Linked DNA regions of Drosophila melanogaster. The protein of the gene in region 3 interacts with the protein of the main gene of each other region in a pairwise test. Each region holds a gene or a part of one and is shown on either strand. Other genes may lie near its edges. The genes, in order: slgA, mTTF and PVRAP.

What was found.
Region 1: the proteins of PVRAP (region 3) and slgA interact in a two-hybrid assay, tested with the Drosophila melanogaster proteins (one large-scale study listed by BioGRID).
Region 2: the proteins of PVRAP (region 3) and mTTF interact in a two-hybrid assay, tested with the Drosophila melanogaster proteins (one large-scale study listed by BioGRID).

What each region holds. Positions count from the first base shown.
Region 1 is NC_004354.4:21,371,447-21,378,866, reverse strand, and holds the start of slgA (sluggish A), read right to left. Parts: upstream 4,556-7,420; 5' UTR 4,127-4,555; exon of another isoform or gene 4,046-4,126; intron 3,446-4,045; exon of another isoform or gene 3,374-3,445; intron 2,758-3,373; exon of another isoform or gene 2,748-2,757; 5' UTR 2,663-2,747; coding exon 2,201-2,662; intron 1-2,200. Other genes in the region: bbx (bobby sox), read right to left, coding at 6,631-7,420. UniProt on the Drosophila melanogaster protein: Converts proline to delta-1-pyrroline-5-carboxylate. Involved in the conversion of proline to glutamate, which functions as a transmitter at neuromuscular junctions. Glutamate deficiency could possibly account for reduced motor activity.
Region 2 is NT_033779.5:14,345,040-14,351,747, reverse strand, and holds mTTF (mitochondrial transcription termination factor), read left to right. Parts: upstream 1-2,957; 5' UTR 2,958-3,041; coding exon 3,042-3,450; intron 3,451-3,514; coding exon 3,515-4,095; intron 4,096-4,150; coding exon 4,151-4,393; 3' UTR 4,394-4,509; downstream 4,510-6,708. Other genes in the region: l(2)34Fc (lethal (2) 34Fc), read left to right, coding at 1,968-2,039, 2,109-2,516; Send2 (spermathecal endopeptidase 2), read left to right, coding at 5,094-5,813; CG33090 (uncharacterized protein), read right to left, coding at 6,408-6,708. UniProt on the Drosophila melanogaster protein: Transcription termination factor. Binds promoter DNA and regulates mitochondrial replication and transcription.
Region 3 is NT_037436.4:5,994,591-6,001,814, reverse strand, and holds the start of PVRAP (PVR adaptor protein), read right to left. Parts: upstream 4,608-7,224; 5' UTR 4,162-4,607; intron 1-4,161.

The DNA.
Region 1 (7,420 bases), on a different chromosome or scaffold from region 3:
ATTAATTTATTTAAATAAACTCGCAATGCACTATCCAGCTTTGTGAAAACGAGAAAATGTTAAACTGCACTTAATAAAACTCGGCAATAAGGACAGGAAGAGATCGCCTAACTTGGGAATCACCAAGTTTCCGGTTTCCGGGCAACCCATGTTCCTTACAAGGTGGAAAACACAAGAGCATTGGCCTCTGATTAATGATTCCCTTGCACGTGTGCGCTTTGCTTGATGCGGGATCCATCAGATGAATGAGATTCTGAGAAAGGACAGGTGGGGAAAGAAAAGAGCATTCTCCGTCTGGGGAAACCGGTTTCGTCGAGAACACTAAAGTAATTAATTGAATACAAAGTTGTCGAAAGAGCACACTGCCGACAATATAAATACACCATCACCAAAACTGGTTACATAAAACAAATTTTCGTTTCGCATTATATTTTTTTTGGGTATGGCATGTTTTGCTTTGCTAGTCTTTTAACTTTTCTTTGGCAGACAATTCGAAACCGAGGACAGGTGTTTGCCGTTGAGCTCTGGCCCCAAAAAACAAAAAAAACAAAAAAAGCTGCCCCAGCAGAGCCAACACCACCCCCGGTCACCTAGCACCTGGCACCTGCCACAGTACCCCATCCTCAACCATGTTTTTTACCCATCAATACCCAACCCATTCTCACATATCACGAGACCCACACCGCTCCTCAGTCCCCAAAAGCAATCGACGCGCTACTGTAAATAGAAATGGCGAAAAAATAAGTACACTCTGATACAAATTCAAACGAATATGAGACCCCAATTGTGTTATTGAACTGTGTGCAACAGTTCTTGAGAATGTTCTCACTATATTTAGTACCAAAAGTATAACTAATTGAATGCTAGAACGCTCAAAATCGATTGTGCAAACGATGTTTTCAAATAGATTGCGCCGAGTCTGGTAAAGGAATGGCTTACCAATTTTTTTCTAGTGCAGAGATGTGGGCAAAGTCGATGTCTGACTAATGCCACATGTGATGTGATGTCTACGGTCCCAGGGAGCTGTGCGGACATTCTCTGTGACGTCCATTTAGCCACCCATATATGCAAATTGCATCGAGCGGGGCGAAAAAATGATAAATAAGTAACAGTCTTGGCGACGCATGCACTTTGAGTAATCGATAAGCAATCAAACGATCGCCGACGCTATTAAATAGAAGCACGCTAGCGAGAATGGGGTAAATGCGAGGGGTTTTCCAACGATTCCGATTGGCGCTCATTCGGGGGCCTGACTATATAACGACCTATATATACTATGCAGTCCTACACAGTTCACACAATCCATACGTCTCGCTGAGTAAATACGCACGAGTTAAGAGCAAATAGCGGACCGGGCAAGGTCGCCATCGCAGCGGCAATTTGCATGCCAAAGTTTCCCTTTTTCCTGCCGTCAATCAGGCACTCATTCAATCTTCTGTGCGACTGCAGCACCTGCCAGAAAGTGGCAACAAATGCAACAAGCAATTAGCCAGGAATTCATCAACACGAGGGGAGCAAACGAAAACTCGCTGCGGGTCGGGTGAATTGAAAAGCGGAAGCAGGGCGGAAAATCGGAAGGAAAGCAGCCAGCCACCTGACACGGGCTTCGGTTGCCCGGAAAATCGGAATCAAGCGAATGGAAGCTTGGCAGGATCGAAAAAATTCATGAATAAGACAAAAAAATTCATGAATAGAAAAAAGGAAGCAAACAAAAAAATTAAATATTCTTCTACGTTCAGTTTCAGACAACTTTAACATTATACATACATGGAATTCAATAGCCCTAGCTGTTCATAACTTTTGTTTACTCTTCAAGTGTCCAAGAATCCATGTACATGAATATATTTAAATAAAGCATTTTAAAGGAAGTATTTATAAAATAAATGAATGAATTATAATAAGTTGAAAGCAGCAGAAGAGGACAGAAGAGGCGAAGAGTCAGCACACACTTCGAGAGTTGAAACAAATGGTTTCGAAATCGGTCACTATCTAAAACGATACTTACTTAATTGTAATATTAAGAAAGCATTAAGCAGGGGTTATGTACTAACAGAGCCCCAGATTTCTCAGCAAACAGAACCAGAAACAGAGAGCTAGAGAGAGAGAGAGAGATCTCAGCTAGTCGATGGATTGGACCAATTCAAGGGTCAAAGGTCGCAGGACTCGGCAGAGGAGGAGTGGGGGACACCGATTAACTCACCGTCATGTTGTGCTCGACCAGCTTCTCGCTGGAACATATCATGTAGACGAGATAGGCGCGTATTAGCTCTCCAGTGGTCTTGCTCTTGAAAGCAGCAATCGGATCATTAAAGCTCACGTCCAGGGGATCCCTCTGCGGCGAGCCAGCGGGCGAGGGGTTCTTTTCCTGGGACGACTCCTGCTTCATCGATCGCTTCACCGTCTCGCTGGAGACCACCTCCGGTTGGACCAGAGTGGAGGCCTGCAGCGGCCGGTCGCCGCTGTGCAGGAAGCGCGCTCCATTGACTCCTCTCGTGGACTCCGATGCTGCTCCTTCTCCGGCGATGCTGGTGCTCCCGCTGCCGCGCTGATGGAAACTCCGGCAGGCGGCGACGGCCACGGAATTGCTCGACTTGCTGCTATTACGGCCGTAGACCAAACTGATGGCTGTTCGTTGGGCGCTCAGCGAACGGAGTAGAGCCATTACAAGGGATTCTGCGGTTTATTTACGCTTTCTGCTCTTCGGCTTTTGAGACGGTTATTGAAACGCACTCCAATCTCGGTTGTTGCTGCAAAAAGAAAACAATGGAAAGCAGAGGTAATTTCACTATTATCTCTACAAATCACTACGAATCTGAGGGAAGACAGTGGCGTAACGAAGAGATTACTAAAGGTGGTTATCTCGTTTTCAACTCGATTACAATAACGTTTTAAAAAGTGGAAATGTGGTACATATATAACAAAATTATTACGACTGTTTCAAAATATGCATTGATTTTCAATAAGATCATATAGAATTGATTTAATTGTAATTGGATGATATCTAATTAATATAAAAATAATAAACAAATGTATAATAAAATTCAATTTATAAAAATATTAAAATCAGTGTACATATTATTATTGCAACTTTTTGCCTAATTGTGTTTTTTGCCCCCCCACAAACCCCACGCCAACGCCAATGATCACAGCTGATTTTGTCGGAGAGCTTTTCGCTCTCCCTCTTTCGCTCGCTCCGAATGTTATACAACAAATGCGAAAAACGTGAGGCGGCGAGGGAGAGCGAAGCCGAAAAAAACAGCACAACACAATCACACGTACGCAAGTACACCTTCGAAATGTTCAATTAAAAAAGTCAATTTCTGGGCAGAAATCTATCTTTCGCTATTATGTGTCTTTTGGGTTTTCTTCTTACTTCGTTCTTATTATTTATTCTATTACGCTTTGAGCGTTGTATACGCCGCAAAAGCACGAAACCAAATGCGACGAAGACGCGTGAAAATGGGGCGAGTTGTTAAGCGACGGCAAATTCAACGAAGCGAAACGAGGAAGGACCCGAGGGCGAGAAAATCCTTTTCGCCGCTTCGCTCCCGTTTATGTAACTGTAAATGTAACCGAGATTGTACCGTAATTGTAACTACGACTGTGTGACGTCACAGGCATGCCAGCCCCGTTTGCTTCTGATTTTGATTTTGATTTGGAATTTGTTTTGATTTAATTGAAATGCGCCGAAAGCACACACTAATTGGTGTTAATTGCGGCTCTCCTTGATTCTCCCCAATTTTCGTTCTCAGTTTTCCACCCATTAACCCCTTTTCCCTTTTTCATTTTATTTATTAATTAGCAGCCCGCTAAATAATCGCCAGACGGGAGGCTGCAATCAATCGAAAAAACTTGGCGGGTTTCATTGCACAGATTTCATTACACTTCATTATGGGCTATATCAAGTTCTGTCTCGCTCTGGCCGCCTTGGTTAAAGGGAAACAGGGAGCTGCCGTACTTAAATTGCGAATTCATCTGAATGGTTTTTTTTTTTTTGTTTTTTTTTCTTCATTTTTCTTATTTGTTGCTATGCGGCGAATTGTACCTATTATATAACACTGCTTACTGCTCTCTACCTCGCTTTGTAGAGATCCTTTTATGATACGAATACAACGCAGCCACTCACATGTACACTGCAAAATTTCGCTTGGGTTTGTGGGTTTCCTCTATTTGCTCGATATAAATTTTGCTTTAACGGTTGTTTTGTCACTTCAAAAAAAACAAACTACGATACATAACCAGCAACGACCCAAAAACAATAATAAGGGTAAACAATACAATTTTGTAGAATTTGTAGAATTGCCAAATATAGTTTTTCGGAAAAACTCGTGTTTGTTTGACAAACTTCTCACAGCAGCCTGCGAGAAAAGTAGAAAAGTTCCCGTTTCTGTCAGCGCATTTGCTCACCTCACAAAAGACACACAAGTACAAGTACAATTATAATTATTTTTCGGTTTTTTCGAGTCAATGTTGTTCTTTTCGAGGGTTTTTGGTTTTTGCTGCTGCAACAGAGAGCGTGAGCACGCGCAAGGGTCTGAATTCGCGAATAAACTGAAACACATGAAGCGAAATTAAGGCCAACACGGCGAAAGCTCGTCCAAAAAAGCTTGAGAGAAATTGTTGGACCAGTCGGTGAGGGGCAGAAAGGGGATGGGCCACCCCCAGCAGCTGTTTGGGCTGCACGTGAGCGAAAAAAAGAAACCCGATCGAAAATTAATCGCCATCTTGTCAACTCTTATTACCCAATAAAAATCGGCACGCTTATCTAGGCCCCTGGCGGTTGGCCGGGAATCTTCGGTGCTCTTATCTTATCAATGGACTCCCACACCAGCGTCCAACAAAAACGAACCATTCCTTCTATTCATCTCTCTCCCTGTCTCTTTCTTGACAACCGGCGTCTTGCAACACTGGCCTCGCAAACAGGCTTGCTTTACACCCAGATCACTGGAGAAATATATCGATACGAAATATACGCTCGCAAAATTTGAAATTTAGTTTCAGGTACGAAAATTATTCAAAATGTTTCTCTGTGTAAAGAACGCTTATCGTGGACTCAAGAAAGTATCAAACAGATTTATTTTAATTGCACTATTTACGCAAATATAAGGCCACCAAATGAATATAAGTTTTCTAAATCTTTCTAATCGGACCCTCCCAAGCCAAATATTTCCTTTTGCTGTGTGCCGAAAGAAGGGATTTTAGAAAAGTTTGAATTATTGTTAGTTACAAAATTGAGTATCCGAACTATTTGTTACTTTCAGCTCGCAATATAAATATAATATAAATATCGATAGTTATCGCCGTCTCACAAATCTACACACCAGCGATCTCTAAAAATGTCCTTTGGGTTTGTTTTAAGCGATTTTTTCGGTTACAAATTTCAAACATATTACTTCGTATAAAATCTTTTAAACTGATTAAAATTAAAAACAAAGCGATTCGGCTTGTGACACTAACAAAAAAAAACCTTTTACGTCTCAATTTACTTTACTTTAAAATTGTTTATAGAAAAAAGGTAAGAAAGTTAAGAAACATTTATGGCATCAAAGAAATCATGTTAACGTAAAAAAAAACTACAAGAACTATATGCACTCCATATTTTTTAATATACACAATGTATGCGTACATAGATACCAAATTGTTCCCGTATACTGATTACTTACTGGCGTTTCATAGATAAATATTGCAAAATTGGCTCTTCAAAATGAAAATTCCAAGTTTCCATTTTAAAATGAATATATTTTTGTTTGCAAATTGTTTGCGTTTCGACAAATATAGCAATAAGTTACGACTACATATTAGAAATAATAATAATTAACATTTAATGAGCGACCGCTGCTGTTGATTTTGCTGCTTAGCGAACGCGGCCCGAAAAAGGAGAAACTTAACAAGAAAAAAACAGAACAAGTTATTTAAATACCAAATATATACATAGATATATGCGTGTGAAACTGACTCGGGTCTCCTCCTACCGCCGTCATAACAAACAATACATAATTCGCTATCGCCGCGACTCTCTTCTCGCATTCTCTTCGGCTGGCTTGATTTTCTGTTATTACATAATATTATTGACTAAATTGTAGATCAACGAATGTCTGTTTTTCCATCTCCATTGGGCACCACCAGCAAATAGCTTTAAGCATCGTAAGTATCGAAAATGGGTGCTTAACTTGACCGCAAGACTATCATAAGGGCGACAAATTCAGTTTAAGGTTTTCGATTGATGCGACAATGTTAAAACAATTGAATATTAATGCACAGTTGTGCGGATATGAACTGAATATTTTGGATATGTGTGCAACATAGCCCGAAAAACATGTAAAACCTATCTATATATGTATGTAAATAAAATATAAAGTATTATTCCTCAGCTCTGACGTAATGAATGATGATATGAATAACTGCTAAGGACATGCTCTTTTGCTTTCCTAAAAACTATATAATAAGGTAAACAGGGAATAGTTTAAATATCTAAACATAATTTCAAATTATTGCAACAGGATATACATATGTGAATATGTCTTCCCCAAGTATGACAATCTTGCAGTTCGCTATTTTGATTTGGGCTAACTATTTGGTGGTAATGCTGGACAGCCAGTGGTGCTGCTGATGTTATTGGTGTTGCAGGCGCTAGTTGGACTTGGTCAGCTCAGTGCGGTTGGCGGCCACTTCGGCCAGAATGAGTAGATCTGAGGTAGAGGAGGTCACGTCGAAGGCCGCCTGCGAGGAGAGCGAGGAGGATGACGACGAGGAGTTCGAAGAGAGCGGTGGCGAGGCCGACGACGAGGTTACAGGGGCATTCACCGCCTTGGGAGCACCGCTCTGGTTAAAGTAGTAGCTGCCATTGATGGTCAGGGGCAGAATTGAGGCCACCTCCTGTTCAATGGCACTAACATCGCGCCGGGTGATACTTTCCTTGCGCGCCTTTCGTCGCTGGCTTCCCACAGCCTGCAGTTGCTGCTGCTTGATCCTCACGTGTTGCTCGCTAGATAATGGGACAGCACCTTTCGCCGCAGCATCTGCTGCTGCCACATTCGAAGTTGCTGATGCACCACTTGTGCTGTTCGAATTCCTCTGTTTCTTGGTGCCGCTAAACTTCTTCTTCTTTTTGGTGCTACGTTTGCGCTGCAGGTAAGCGTCCAAGCTGAGGGCTGGCAGCTCTTTGATTTTCTCCTCGAGATCAAAGAAACCACTGCTGCTTGACTCGGAAACGCTTCTTATATGTTTTTGCATGGAATCCGGACTGCTACCCTGACGTTCCGGTGGCGAAACGGGCGGTGTATTGGGTCCCGCATCCAAGGGGATGTCCACAAAGTTTCCACCCATGTTACCTGCCGGCGGCAAGCGAGCTTTGCTCTTCTTAGCTATGGCCGCCAATTGACCGGAATTGACCAATTCCTGGTAAATCTTGCCCTTGCAG
Region 2 (6,708 bases), on a different chromosome or scaffold from region 3:
CTAATTGGCGTGCCATTTGATTTGTGGATCTAAGTAAACACTTAGTCACTGTTTATGTCGCTTCACAAATGAAGCGTTAAAAATTCAATTTGCAAGCTCAGCTTTCGGAGCTTTCGAATTTGGCCAACTTGCTGGTATGGCAGTATAAGCTCGGCTTACAAAGTTGTCTTTGCAAAAGCTACTTCACTACTTTTGATCAGTTTTTTGGTATAAATAGGAAGTTGTTTTAGAATTTTCAGCTCATTTCAAGTTTTTCTTTTCTGCCGCTTGTGTGTGTGTATTTCTGATCGGTAGGTTTAAATGATTAAGCAATTAGTTTACTTGGCCTAAACGATTTTCAAAGTTCAGTTGATTTTTTGTGAAACAGTTGTAAAGGTTTAAAAACTTAAAGGATTTGTACTCTTCCTTTTTTTCGGGTTTTAAAGTGACTAAGCTTAATTTAGAATACATATTCTAATATGATCATTAAAAAAAAAACCTTTTCGGAAATGACATAGATAGTTTCGGTATGAATGCGAATTTCAAGCTTCAGCAGTTCTGTCCCACCAACTTGATAATAATAATATTTTCCAAGCCATTATAAATGTTGGCTAATTGAGGCCTATGGCCATAGCTCAGCGTAATGACATTAAACAACCATGTATTGAGATTTTATCTAAACAAATCGCCCAACCGGTTGGACAAAGGCCCATAAATACATAAATATACGGCTAAAAGTCGCAGAGGGAAAGAAATAAAGAAGCAAAACTTGGCTCCGACACTAACATGTCCAATATTGAACTTTAGCATATTGCAAGACAAATGGAAACTTGGCTTACGGGCCGGTCTTGACAAGGTCTTTTCGAATCCATGGCGACCCAAGTGGAGGAGGCCGACGATCAATCAGATCGGTACTTCGAACTCCACAAGCCTCCAATCCACCTTGAACCTGAGAATTCGATTTGAGGAAGTACTTAGGCTGTTGTCTTCAATTGTCACTTGTCATTTCTAGGCGATTTTTATCGCACGGTAAAAAAAAGAGTTACTCTTCTATGGAAATGTACTGCAAACTGGTTTGGCTTTAAACAGTTTTCGTTTACGTCCGAAAAACCAGTTTGATGATTTTTTAAAAATTGGTTTAATCAACATGCATCTTGGCCAATTTCAATATTGAACAAAGCTTTTGTCTGCGCCTTCTTAATTCTGCGAATCTGAAGATTTACGAGCCGATCGTGATTGAAATGTTAAGTTCACTTCGAGTGGTTTCCCGTAAATAATTAAAATGTTTTGATTGACATTTTTTTTCGGCACTAATACTGGTTATTACAAATCAGACAGTAACACTGCAGCCTAATCCACAAATCTTGTAGAATCACAGACTGTCAACAGTCAAGGCTGCAGAGAAATATACCCATTATGGCGACAACTGGGACCGAACAAACTGCATAATAAACGTTGGCGTTGACAAACTGCATAATTGGAGCTAGTTTTCAATATATTTGCGCCTGCCCACGTATACAAGTGTAAACTTTGAAAAGGAAAAAAAAAAAACTAAATAAATAAAAAACTTAAGCAAAGTCAAACTGGCCAAGGCCAGTGAAAAAAGTCTCACTTGAGTGGAAATGTTAATTAATTAATTTATGAAAAACTAGTTAACGCAATTAAGCAGCATGCACGAATCTAAAAATGTTAAACAATGACCGGCAGTAAATATATTTTAATATGTAATTGGATTCAACTTGAAAGCACTAGAAGTTGAAAGTAGAAACATTGACAAGTACTTGTGTCATTAAAACTTGTTCTGCTTAAGCATATTCGGTTATGGAAAATGGAAGGATTTCGCACACTCACTTGGTGCGCTTCGTCACTACGTGGACTGTTCTTCACAGTGATGTAGCATAATTAAGCCAACCAACTGGATTTTAATCGTTACTAAAGCGATGTTTCCAACTCATGTGATATTATTTTTAATTTTCCCTTAAACAGATATGTTCCGTTTGTTGGTTCTTGCGGCCTGCCTGGCCATCAGTGTCCACGCCTACTCCGATGGTGCTCCAAAGGTATGAACCTGCCCCATCGAAATACATGACGGATAGATTCCTTATATTCCCATCTTCATTATCCCAAAGGCCGCCTGTCGTGACCTGACGCCCCAGCACGGAGCCAAGCTGCAGGTGACCAAGCCGCCGTACAGCATCTCCGGACCCTCCCATGTGCGCTCGGATCAAAAGCTGACCCTGACGCTGGGCGGCGATGAGTTCCTTGGCTTCATGATCCAGGCACGCGATGGCCAGAACCGCGTCGTCGGCCAGTTCCAGGTGGTGGACTCCGTGCACTCGCAGACCTTGGACTGCTCCGGCAAGGACGACACCATCACCCATCTGAGTGCGCAAAAGGGCAAGCCGCTGACCGGCATCACCTTCGACTGGATTCCGCCAGCAGGCTACAAGGGCAACGTCAAGTTCATGGCCACCGTGGTGCAGACCGGATTCGTTTACTGGGTGGGTCGCGTCACAAAAGACATCGATGTGGAGTAGTGCTTGTGATAGATGTTTTCATGATTTGTTCAAAATCCTACAAGTCTTTGTTTAGCGTTAATGTTCCGATTAGCTTTGGAGCGTAGTATTTTTGAAAATAAAATCAAAAAGTTCGTTGATAAAATGGGAGTGATTTCAATTGTGGGACTCTCTGTCTAAGAATGCTTAGTAGATTTGAAAATAAATATTGGAAGTGTTTCACACTTATATTTAAAAAGTGTATGTGTATGTTATTGTGTATGAACCAGCACACTTCCTAAACATATTATGAAATCAATTGCACCTAGAAAAGTTATTATATTTTCCTAGAAAACAAATGCTAAATTTATTAAATTGCTGTTCCGAATAACGGTCATTATTTTCAAAACCGATAACGATAATTGTTTGAGTGTCGTATACTCCAGCTTTCAGTTGGCCCACTTGGTCAGCTGTTTATCGCCGCAACATATCAGCTGTTTTCCGCTTGTTTTATAAGTTGAAGAACTTTATTTTCTGTCTTGATTCTGTAAATTAAGCAAATTCGGGATGATTAGAAGCCTTCTGCGCAGCTTTGAGACGGCACTCAAGCTGCATGCCGGCTTAAATATGCACCCAATGCACTGCAGCAGGCGCCTACTCTTCTCGCAGTACGAAAACCGCGCCAGTCCGAGCAGACTGACCTCCAGTGGCACTTTAGGTAGCAACGAGGCGGAAAACGATTATGTGCCTTATCGCCAGGATCGGGAGACTGGAACCAAGACGCGGGTGCTCCTCGAAGCTCTGCGGGAACGTTTTCGCTTCACGGACGCTGAGCTCCAAAAGATAATCAGCGACGAGCTGGTGCACCGCTGCTACCGCGGTAGATCACTGACTCTGGTCATGGACACACTGCAGCTAGAGGGCGTTAGCAGGCGCAGCTTCGTGGAGTATCCTTGGCTACTGTCGCTGGACAATAGTAAGCTCATTTGCTTTATATCCTTTATGTGATTAAATCATCGGTTATTTGTTTATCTATTCAGAACGCTTGGAGCTAAAGATGCAGCTACTCAAGTCAATGGACTTTAAGGACATCAATCATTTTGTGCCTTTCCTGCGCCTCACTGTTCCACGTCTTCGAAAACTGGTGGGTGCTCTGAACTCTGAGAGGGATGCAATGCCACAGCGAAATCGTGTCTACTATATCAGCGAAAAGCTGGATGTCAGCCCCGATATTGTGAGCAAATATCTATCGAAGAGGCTGTTTATCCTGGAAATGCCGTTCGAGATGTTCGAAAAGAACCTGCAGCACATGATCGACTACAATGTGTCGCCAATAAACGTACTCAAGGATCTATGGGCCTTTCGCTATACTCCAAAGTCTGTTCAGTTGCGTTTGGAGCGCGCCAAGCGGGCGAAAAAGGACAAGATCATGCCGTGGATGGTGCGCTGCCCGGAGCCAATACTGCAGCGCTCCCTGAAGCTTTCTCTCGACGAACTGAAGGTTTTGGGAGAGTTCTCCTCCGTGGTGGAATACTTAGCGCATCGTCTTGGTTTCAGCACCAGTGAAGCCAAGGCAATCATGGACAAACATCCGCAGGTGCACACCGTGCGAGTTACCAAGGTAAGTCACAATGGGTTAACTCAAACAATCATAAGCTATACAATTTTGCCTTCAGATCAAAGAGGTGCTAGACTACCTACTCGATGAGGCCCAGTTTACCAGATTTGAGGTCGCTCAAAATCCTCGAATTCTATGCCACAGCCTGAAAACCACAAAGGAGCGCATGGAAGAACTGAAATCGCACGGTTGTCGACCCTCCTCTCTTGTAATTCTTTGCCGCAGCCGGAGGGAGTACGATAAGTTTTTGCAGAACTGGATAAGCCATGAAAGAAATCCGCAAAGTGTATCAGAAGGATGATGAACTGACGAATGACCTGATGCCATCACCGTGAAAGCTTAAAAAGTTGTTGTAAAGTTAAGATACTTTTTTCAAAAGTTTTGCCACGAAATTGAACACGATTAAAAGCCAATATTCAAAAAACGTTATTAATTACGACCAGGGGACCGCTGTTATGATGGTATCTTCATTTTTAAAGGACCCTTAACAAGTAAGGTTTCCATAATATTGTAAGGAAACCAATCAGGGAACCTTTTCGATTTCAATAGGTTTTTTAACCACCAGTCGGATTACTCGTCCTGCGGACAGAAAGTTTAGTTTGTTTAGTTTGGACGACTCTCTGCAGTCATTCTACCACTTCGGATGGCTTAATCAGTTGGAAATTTTCTTTCAACATTTATAAACGCAGAACAAACCAAATTGCAAACTTAGTTAATTAGAAAATTCCAGAAATGTTATTGCCCCTCCACATTTTCACCGTTAGCGATAAAAATTTCTTGAAAGCAAAAGGCAGCTAAATTATTTATGATGTTTATATTTAGCGAATGAAGTATTTTTCAATATTTTGATTGCTTTACAAGAATAGAGAATATTCTATATCTAGATACATAAACTATTACTGAGGTTCAAATAGAATATTGCTAACTGAGTTGTGTATAAAAGACTGGTTACTTTGGACGTGAAGCCACTGCAATTCAAAGTATCATACAAACTGGTCAAGATGTTCATCCAAAGCTTCCTGTTGCTATTGGCGCTCAATTCCCTGTCCGCAGGACCAGTAATCCGGCCGGAAGAACGCATTATCGGTGGACAACCCATTGGAATCGAGGAGGCACCATGGCAGGTGTCCATACAACGTGATGGCAAACATTTATGCGGTGGCTCCATTTACAGCGCAGATATCATCATTACTGCGGCCCATTGCGTCCAGGGCCAGGGATATCAAGTTCGGGCAGGATCCGCCTTGAAGAACTCCAATGGAAGTGTTGTCGATGTGGCCGCTATAAGGACGCATGAGGGATTAGGAAACGACATCGCCATCGTGCGGCTAAGTAAGCCACTTGAGTTCACAAACCAAGTTCAGCCCATTCCATTGGCCAAGACAAATCCCCCGCCTGGATCGATTGCCTTCGTCTCTGGCTGGGGAAGTTCTTCTTATTACTCACATCCCATCGATCTTCAAGGAGTAAACCTTTACATTCAATGGCCGTACTATTGTGGATTAACTGAACCGTCAAGAATATGCGCCGGATCTTTTGGAAGGGCGGCTTGTAAAGGAGACTCTGGTGGACCGTTGGTGTTTGACCAACAACTTGTGGGTGTTGTATCCGGGGGTACAAAGGATTGCACGTATAGTTCAATCTACACTAGTGTCCCATATTTCCGTGAATGGATCTTAAATGCTATCGATGAAATAATGTCAGCGAATCGAAACAAATAAATATTTACAATTGCACAACTAATTTTATCATTTGACTTGACTATTTCCACTATTTTGGCAACATCCCAATTTCCAACGTTTTGACACCCCCACTAGCTGAGTAATGAGTATCTGATAGTCGAATAACTCAACTCTAAATAAATTATTTCTGACAACTCGGTCACATTTATTGCAGACAGCAACTGCTTACACATTGAAATACATATATGCTTATGACATTAATAATTAATTAAAACATTTATAATTGATTTAAATATTTCTCTTAGCTAACATCTAAATACGACTTGTGCTCCATTTGAATACCATTGCGTAGTTGTACTTCAACAGAGAGTAGCAGTTTGATTTGTGACTGGCTTTAAAGCTAGAGAAGACATGGAGTAAGCGCCAACAGATTCCACAGCTTAAAAGTACAGATAAAGCTATAAATTTGAAAACCACTTCAGAGACAACATCTTCCTCGACTCGCACCATCTCGATAAGCTCGTTACACATTCAGCCTCAAAAGAAGAATCGAACTAAACGCTAAGAAAATCTTTGTGCTGGCTTAGAAATATCTTTGGTTGTGTAGACTTCGGATTAGATTGTACTCTCGACTTAGTCGCGTTGGGCTCGCCGTCGCTCCAATGCCACCTGCATGGACCAAATGCTCAACGGACGCATATAGCCAATGGAGCGATAGCGCTTCTCACCGTACAACGCTTCCGGGGTCTCGAAATTCATGCCGATGCGCTGGGACAGGGTCTTGTACATTCCGCCGGCGGTCTGGAAGGCTTCCTCGAACATGCCCTCCTGTATCATGGTAGCAGCCAGAGCGTAAACCACTCCTGGCCACACCTCCTCCGCCTGGATGTTGCTGTTGTCCACGTGACCCGGCTTGGTGGGTTCGCTGGCATTG
Region 3 (7,224 bases):
AGTGCGTTGATCAAATAATAAAAACATCATAAATATCCCCAGCGTGGGCTATAAAAAAAAAAAAAAAAAAAAAAAAGGAAATACGACTTATTCCTGCGTGCATTTGTATGCAAATTATAATTGCCTACTTTTCGGTGCTGGCGAAATACGAAATCTTCAAAGGCAGCATTGCGGCTGCTTTATCAACTTTATTATGCCAGCGTCAAAATTAACAACAACAGCGTGGTTGAAACGATGGGGGAATGACCATAAAGCAGCCTCTCTTTTGGCCCTTAAGACAGGACTCAACTGCAGGCCGCGACCGTTTTACGACTCACACACACAAACACTCCTGAAAACAGTTTCAATGTCTGATGCTTCTCTTGCTATGTGTGTGAGTGTGTGTGTTGGTGTACGGTGTGCTCCTTATTTATCTCGCTTTTGTTTGGCCCCGTTCAACCAGCCGCTGCCCTCCCTTCCCACCACCGTCCTCGAAAAAGAGTGTCTTACTTTGCTCGGCTTTCTCGCTTTTTTCGTTGCTTTGGCAACTTCCAGGACGATTTTGTTTGCCTGCTTAGTGCGTACGTGTACGTAGTTGTGAGTGTGTCTGTGAGTGAGTGAGTCTGCATTCTGTGCTCGTGTGTGGGTGAATATCTCTGCGAAGTGCGTGTTCGCCAACACTCGTGGCTGAGCGCCTGTTCCGAAATATTCTCCGTGTGTGGGTGTATCGCACACAGACACAAGCCCACAGAAGCGATGTGCCGTGAATATGCATGTGTATGTGTGAGCGCCATGTTGCTGGCAACATTGAAATGGCAATTTTGGTGCCGAAATGTTGCCGAGCCGCTTGAAGTGCTGCCGAGTGTTTTGATAGCGGGCCAACTAAGCCCCAGAGATTTTACTCATATGCACACATCATCTCGGCAATTTTAAGCGGCTTACGACGACGATGATGCCGTCGCAGAATTTTCATTACTAAGCCAAAGGTGAATACCTCATACTCCGAATCATCCGCACAGAACGTTCGCCATTCTCCTCAAGTGCGCAGTCAACTTCAAAAGGCTGGCAAATTCTATGGGTTAGCGAAGGAGTCTCAAGGCAAACACAGATCAAATCTTATCGGGAATCATTTTATGAGCAAAATTAATACGCTTCAAGCCAACTGAAGCGGCTGAGCGACTGGCAAATTTGTAGACGTTTTGTTGTTGCCCAGGCAACTTGAACATCCCCATCCTCGACGAAAGGCAACAATATAATGAGCCAGAGCAGGTGGCAGGAGTGGTATCAAAAGATTGATACAAAAAGATATGCTTTGGCACTCGAAAAAATAAGTACTTTTAAGATAATATAAATATTTTATAACTACTTAATTGGAACCTTAGCATTGATGTTTTTCTTTCAATTCTTGAATGTTTATTTAGGAAATCATTTTTCTTTAAAATCCATATAATACATGAAGTTATGAATTTCTGTAAATATTTTCGCAGTGAAATAACGGGCTCACGGGCAACGACATCGTCATGGAAATTCTTCATTAACTCAACTCGGGCGCTGAGAGAAAAGAAGTTTATGTTATTAAGAACATGGAGGAGTGGGCGGAGAATGATGGCAATGGTTACTATCCGTGGCGGATGGGGGCGTGGCTAGGCTGTGAAGGAGGCAGCCGGAGCAGCAGCTGTTGTTGTAGTAAAATGTGTGTTTTACTTGACAAGAAAGAGATAACGGTAAATGAATATGCAGCAATTTGCACGCCCACATAATGAGTAGGGCGATGGTGGCGGAGAGAGGCATGGAGGGGGGAAGCGGTAAGGATACCGCCGGCGGGCAGAGACTGAAATAATAACAGCAGCAGAAAAGCAACAGCATCAGCCGCTAAACAAAAGTCGATAAACATAAACCAGGCAACGCAGACAAGCGCTGATAAGTGTGCTACACTTTCCACAGGAAACGGAAGGCGTGGGCTTGCATGTGTTTGCTTGTATTTGTGTGCGAGTGTGTGCGGGTGTGTGTGTGTGAGGCAAAAGTAAATTAAAACGATTTTAATTACGGTTGCCAAGACGATGAATGAAAATGTCAACGATGCCGGGCGACAGCAGGTGGGCGTGGCGTAGGCGTTCAAGGAGTGAAAGAGTGCGGAAAAATGAGACAACTCCTAAAAGCCTTTCGTTGTACCGCTTGCTGAGCAGCAGTGTGAATTATGGCACATGTACAAGGCGCTTATGCACCGAAAAAAACGAGGATCCTTTAATAAGTTTCAACAGTGATTTAAGCTACTACAAAATACTATTTTACAGTACACTTTAGGCCAACAAATACGTTTTGAATAAGAAGCCACAGGTTGACTTAATAACGAAATTTATTAAATGAAGTGCAAAACTTAAATTCATACATTTCCTGAATAAAAAAATTAAATCCCTTTTTTATAGTTTATCAAATCTGTATATGACAACTCTTTTTCATTCGTGTACGTATGTGCCAGTGAGTGGAATAAAAGCAGATTTTCATTTAGACTCTGTTTTGTTGTCTTTAGCTACTTGACAAGAGCCAGAAGCCAAAGTCACTGCCAAGAGCAACACCAGCAAACTTTAACAAATAAACGGGTTTTCAGGAAAAAGGGAGAAAAATGGGGAAAAATAGAAGTAGGAGCAGCAGTCGCTTCTAGCTCAAACAAACAAGCTCCATTTTTATGAGGCTCTTTTGTCTGAGGCTGCTATTCCGCCTTTTTTCCCCTAACTTTTTTTATACCTTATTAACGCTCGCTCACTCGCTTGTTGAAAATGAAAAGTTTTCGTTGCGGGCGTGAAATTTTTTTTTTCCCACAACCGAAAAAAACAAAGATGGAATGCTGAAAAGCCACCGAAAAAAAGGAGAGCAGAAACCATGGCTTGCTGATTAACTTGACACGGCCAAGAGCGGCGAGGGAAAAGTGTCGCGGAAAAGCGGTGGGTGGTGAGGTGAAAAATTCGCGGTTCGTATGCAGCTGACAGGCAGCACCTGTCGCCGCTGCGGAAGTGTCGACTGCGAATACGAATGCGACTGCGGCCAACAAACCGCCGCTTGACATTTCCTTGGCGACGCTTTTCAAGGAAAATGTTGCTGGCTTGGCGAGGGGTTCGGAAAACGTGGTGGGCGTGGGGCGGTGGAAGGACGCTGCGGTGGCCTTGTGTATCTTATTTTGTGACTGCATTTAAGTGCATTTTTATGCCACAGATTTAAGTGTAAGCCAGTGGATTGCCAAAGTTTGTCCAGGGGTTTATCTTCATTAATTTCCGCAGTGCTTTTTAATGCAGCAGAACTTCATATTAACCCCAAAAGTGTGCTGTGGCAAGTAATTCGACTTGGGCGCTTCTTTATAATCGTGCCATAAAATCGACAACAGTTTTTAACGGACGCGTTCTGATTGGATTCCTTCTTTTAAACTGCTAGCATTGCTTTAAGTTTTACCATATCCTAAAAAATCAGTATTTATAAAAGTAAAGATCATATTCTTATCAACGAAATCTCATTGCTGAATTCAGAGAAAACCAAAAGGTTTCTTTAATAAAAAAAGGTCTTTAAAAGCAGTCTTTCAAGAGCAGTACATTCCATTGAATTGGCATAGTTTTATATTACTTTATTCACACCGAAACGTTTTTCTCGGGCATGCTCGCGTGCATTTCAACGCCCCGAGGAATTTAAAGTTTTTCGGAAAAGCTGATACACTTCACTCCAAACATGTTGACAGCTTAACAGGAAGTCTGCCCCAAGAAGTACGGCGACACCCCGAAAAAAGTTGATTCCTATCCTTGGAGCCCGTTGCACCCCCATTTGCCGCTGATAACTTTAAGCCGAACGAGGCCAGAAAGTGTAGCAGCTTTCGTGGCAAAAGTTTGCAATGCATTTTGATGTGCAGCCAAAGTGCCAAAAGGTGGCAAAATGCAGAGGGGGGAAAACTCTCTGCGAATAATTATATAGAGAAGATGAAAGGACCGGAGGCAGCGAAGCGAAACAAGAGCCTATGCAATTCTTTCAAGTCAAGGCTACTGACCTTTTTAACACTGTTTGTCAAGGATGCAAAGGGCCGACTTTGATCCCAACAAAGGGATAAAATAAACCCAAATTGACCAACAAACAAGACTTGTATATCCAAAGGATATTTAGGATGTGGAGCCAATAATGAAATTTGTCGTGTGTCCCACTCACCTTAGTATCAATTTTTGGCGGCAATTTTCGTTATGTTCACGACCTTTATTTGCGTTTTCGTCTTATTGCCACAATAATCCAAAGGAAAACTGGCCAAAGTTTTCGCATAAAATTCAATTACGATTGTGAACTCATAAATCGCAACACTTGGCCGCGTTTTACGATTACGTCTTTTGATTTCGAGCACGGAAAGTGTGAAACTTTTTTGGTTAACGCGGCTACTTTGTTATCACTGTTATCGGGCCACGACTCTGGCAATAAAATTACCCCGTCGCGTCGTTAAAAGTTAAACGACCCTTTGTGCTAAACTGGGGGATTTGTTAAGTTTTTATGACTTTCGACGAATTTCGGACAATGTTGAAGTTTTGGGCATCTGCCAGTTGTATACGGTTAGGTGCCTTTTTGGGGCAACCTTTGCAGTTGAAAGCGCGCAAGGAACTGTTTATCCTGGCCCCATGTGCTGGCATTTTTGTGCTAAGCCCGAAACTTGGTATCCTGCCACGAAACTTGGCATCCACAACAGCGCATGCGCTGGATTTCCTCGGAATGTGGATGTCTGGAGTGGGACAGGACCTTTCCAGTCTGCATTCAACTGGTGGTTGGCTTGCCAATCGAATCCTCAAAGAACTGCCATATGTGCATGGTTGTCGTGACAACTTGATTTTCTCATAAGCTAACGGTTTCTCATTTCCTACTGCCATGAATTTGATAAGATTTTATTACGATTTTTGCCGGTGGCAACCTTTGATGCGCCCAAACATCCACTAGTTTGAAATCCGAAGCTGATCTAATTATGCGACCGTTTAGCAGTGCATACTTTTCAGAGACTTAAAAGAGGGCCGGTAAACATCTGAAAAGGAGAAAGGACTGTCGAATGACATTAGGGCAAATCCGCTTACAGATGCGGAGATGAGATGAAGATACGGAGGGTCGTCCATTGTTTATGCAAGCGCATTAAGCTGAGGCTTAGCTAAGGATACACTGACTACTCGGCATGGAGATGCAGATGGGCAGATGCGGATACTGAGATACTGAGAAACAGAGATACAGATACGGATTTAGATACAGTAGCCCAGCTCACACCCACAAGCAGCAGCGACATGTTGCGGTTTTGCGAGCAGTAGATTGACCTGGCCAAGAAGCCCAAACAAAACCGCATGTTGCAGGGCGTGGCGGCATCTTAAAGCAGTCCGAATCCAGCTGCAAAATTTGAAACTGAACACTCAAAACTCACAAATGAAGAACCTATGGATAAATCGAAAAGTCAGCGATGCGAAGTTGAACTCATTAACGGCAGTGAGTGGAAAGTCGTTGTCATGTAATCCAATGCCGTGTACCAAATTGGAATCTCGTATTTCTCATAGATACACGGCGATACGTGCACACGTATAAAAAGGACTAATAAAAGGAGGAAAAATCAACTAAGAAAAATGGAAACTCGCGTGGATATTTCGTGATTTTCCGTCTGTAAGCGCCGGCGTGCAATCTTCTTTTTATATGCCATCCATTTTATTGTTTATTTACAGCATTGTTTAGTAGCATATATCCGCGTGTATATATACATAGATACTAGTATATTCCCCAGTCAGCGTTGATTTAATGGCTGTAAATTGAAATGGAATACGCGAAAAATGGAGAAAAATGTTGGGACAGGTGAGCTGAGTTGATTTGGCAGAAATATATTTATTGAAAAAGTTGTCAGAAAAGAATTTAAAAGAATAAAACTTTGCGGATTGAAATTTGCATTTCACAGTTGTACGCCGGCTTACGTCAAACATTTTCTATCCTTTATGGATTTTATTATGTATTTTAAAAGCCTAAAAAGGCTTTTTTTCTTGCATATTTCACGAAGAAAAAGGGAAAACAGGTGGTTAAGAAAAGTTCCAAATTTATCTATCGGCTTTTATCCTTTGCCTAACCATTTAAAGGAAACCCAACTTCTGGTTGCCAATTTCTGTTTATCTTTCTTGTATCTTTTCCTCGTTTTGCTTACATTACGAGCGGAAATTTGATTTGTTTCTGATAAATGCCATTTATTTTACTTGTTTAAGTCCTCCCACTCGCTTGCCCCTAACTTTCCATGAAATTCAATTGCCAAATTGATTCAACTTTTTCCCCTCGCTGCAAAAAGCCATGGAGCTTCGCGTTGAGCCGCAGATAATTGAATGATTTGAATTTGTATATTGAATTTGGCTTTATACATAGCTGAACACGCCCATTTTTCATTTAACGCCCACCACCCGGCCTTTCATCATATTTGGCAGTTTGGCAGTGCGAAATTTTTGTTCATCGTGTTGCGTGGGATTTTTCTATTAAAATGGAAATTGTAGGCGAATTGGAAAATTGCTTATCAATTGACGGGGGGCATATGCTTCAAGGATCAAACGGAGGCTAAAATTGATTTCCCTAGCCGCCACCATTTTCCGATGACCCCGCGCACCCACGCCCCGTTTATGCTGCAATTAAGTATAAAATTAAGTTTTTCCCTTGCCAGCGAGCTTAATTGAGTTGTATGTGTGGATTTCATTCCCATGGAATTGGGGTGAATCCCTCTTGGAATTTAATTTAATCCACTGAAGCGTTACGCCGCCAGAAAATGCATGGCGAATTTTTTTCCGAATATTGCGCTGCCTGCCTTCTTTTAATTGTTTGTTACATGGGAATTAAAGACAACTGCCCGCATGATGATGTAACCATATCGATGGAGGGTGCACATATATGTATACATAATGATCTCCCCAAGCAGACGAAGTGTCTAAGAGCGCTCCTTTCTAGACAGACATGAAAAGGAAACCCTGGGCTGGCTAATGGCAAGGTGCTCTCGAGCTCCTTTGTTGCCAAAGAACAAAAAACACAACTATTACTTATTGGTTCGTGGAATGCAACTAGAACGGCATAGAAACCCTCTCTCAAGTGCCACTCCACATTTCGACCTTTGTTTCGCAATCGAGTTTCGATTCAAAAGCAATACAAACACGCACTGCGGGTGCCACTTCAACCGGTCGAAATGGGAATAGGAATGGAATTGGAAATGCTAGAATCGTTTGAGAAACTGCGTCACCA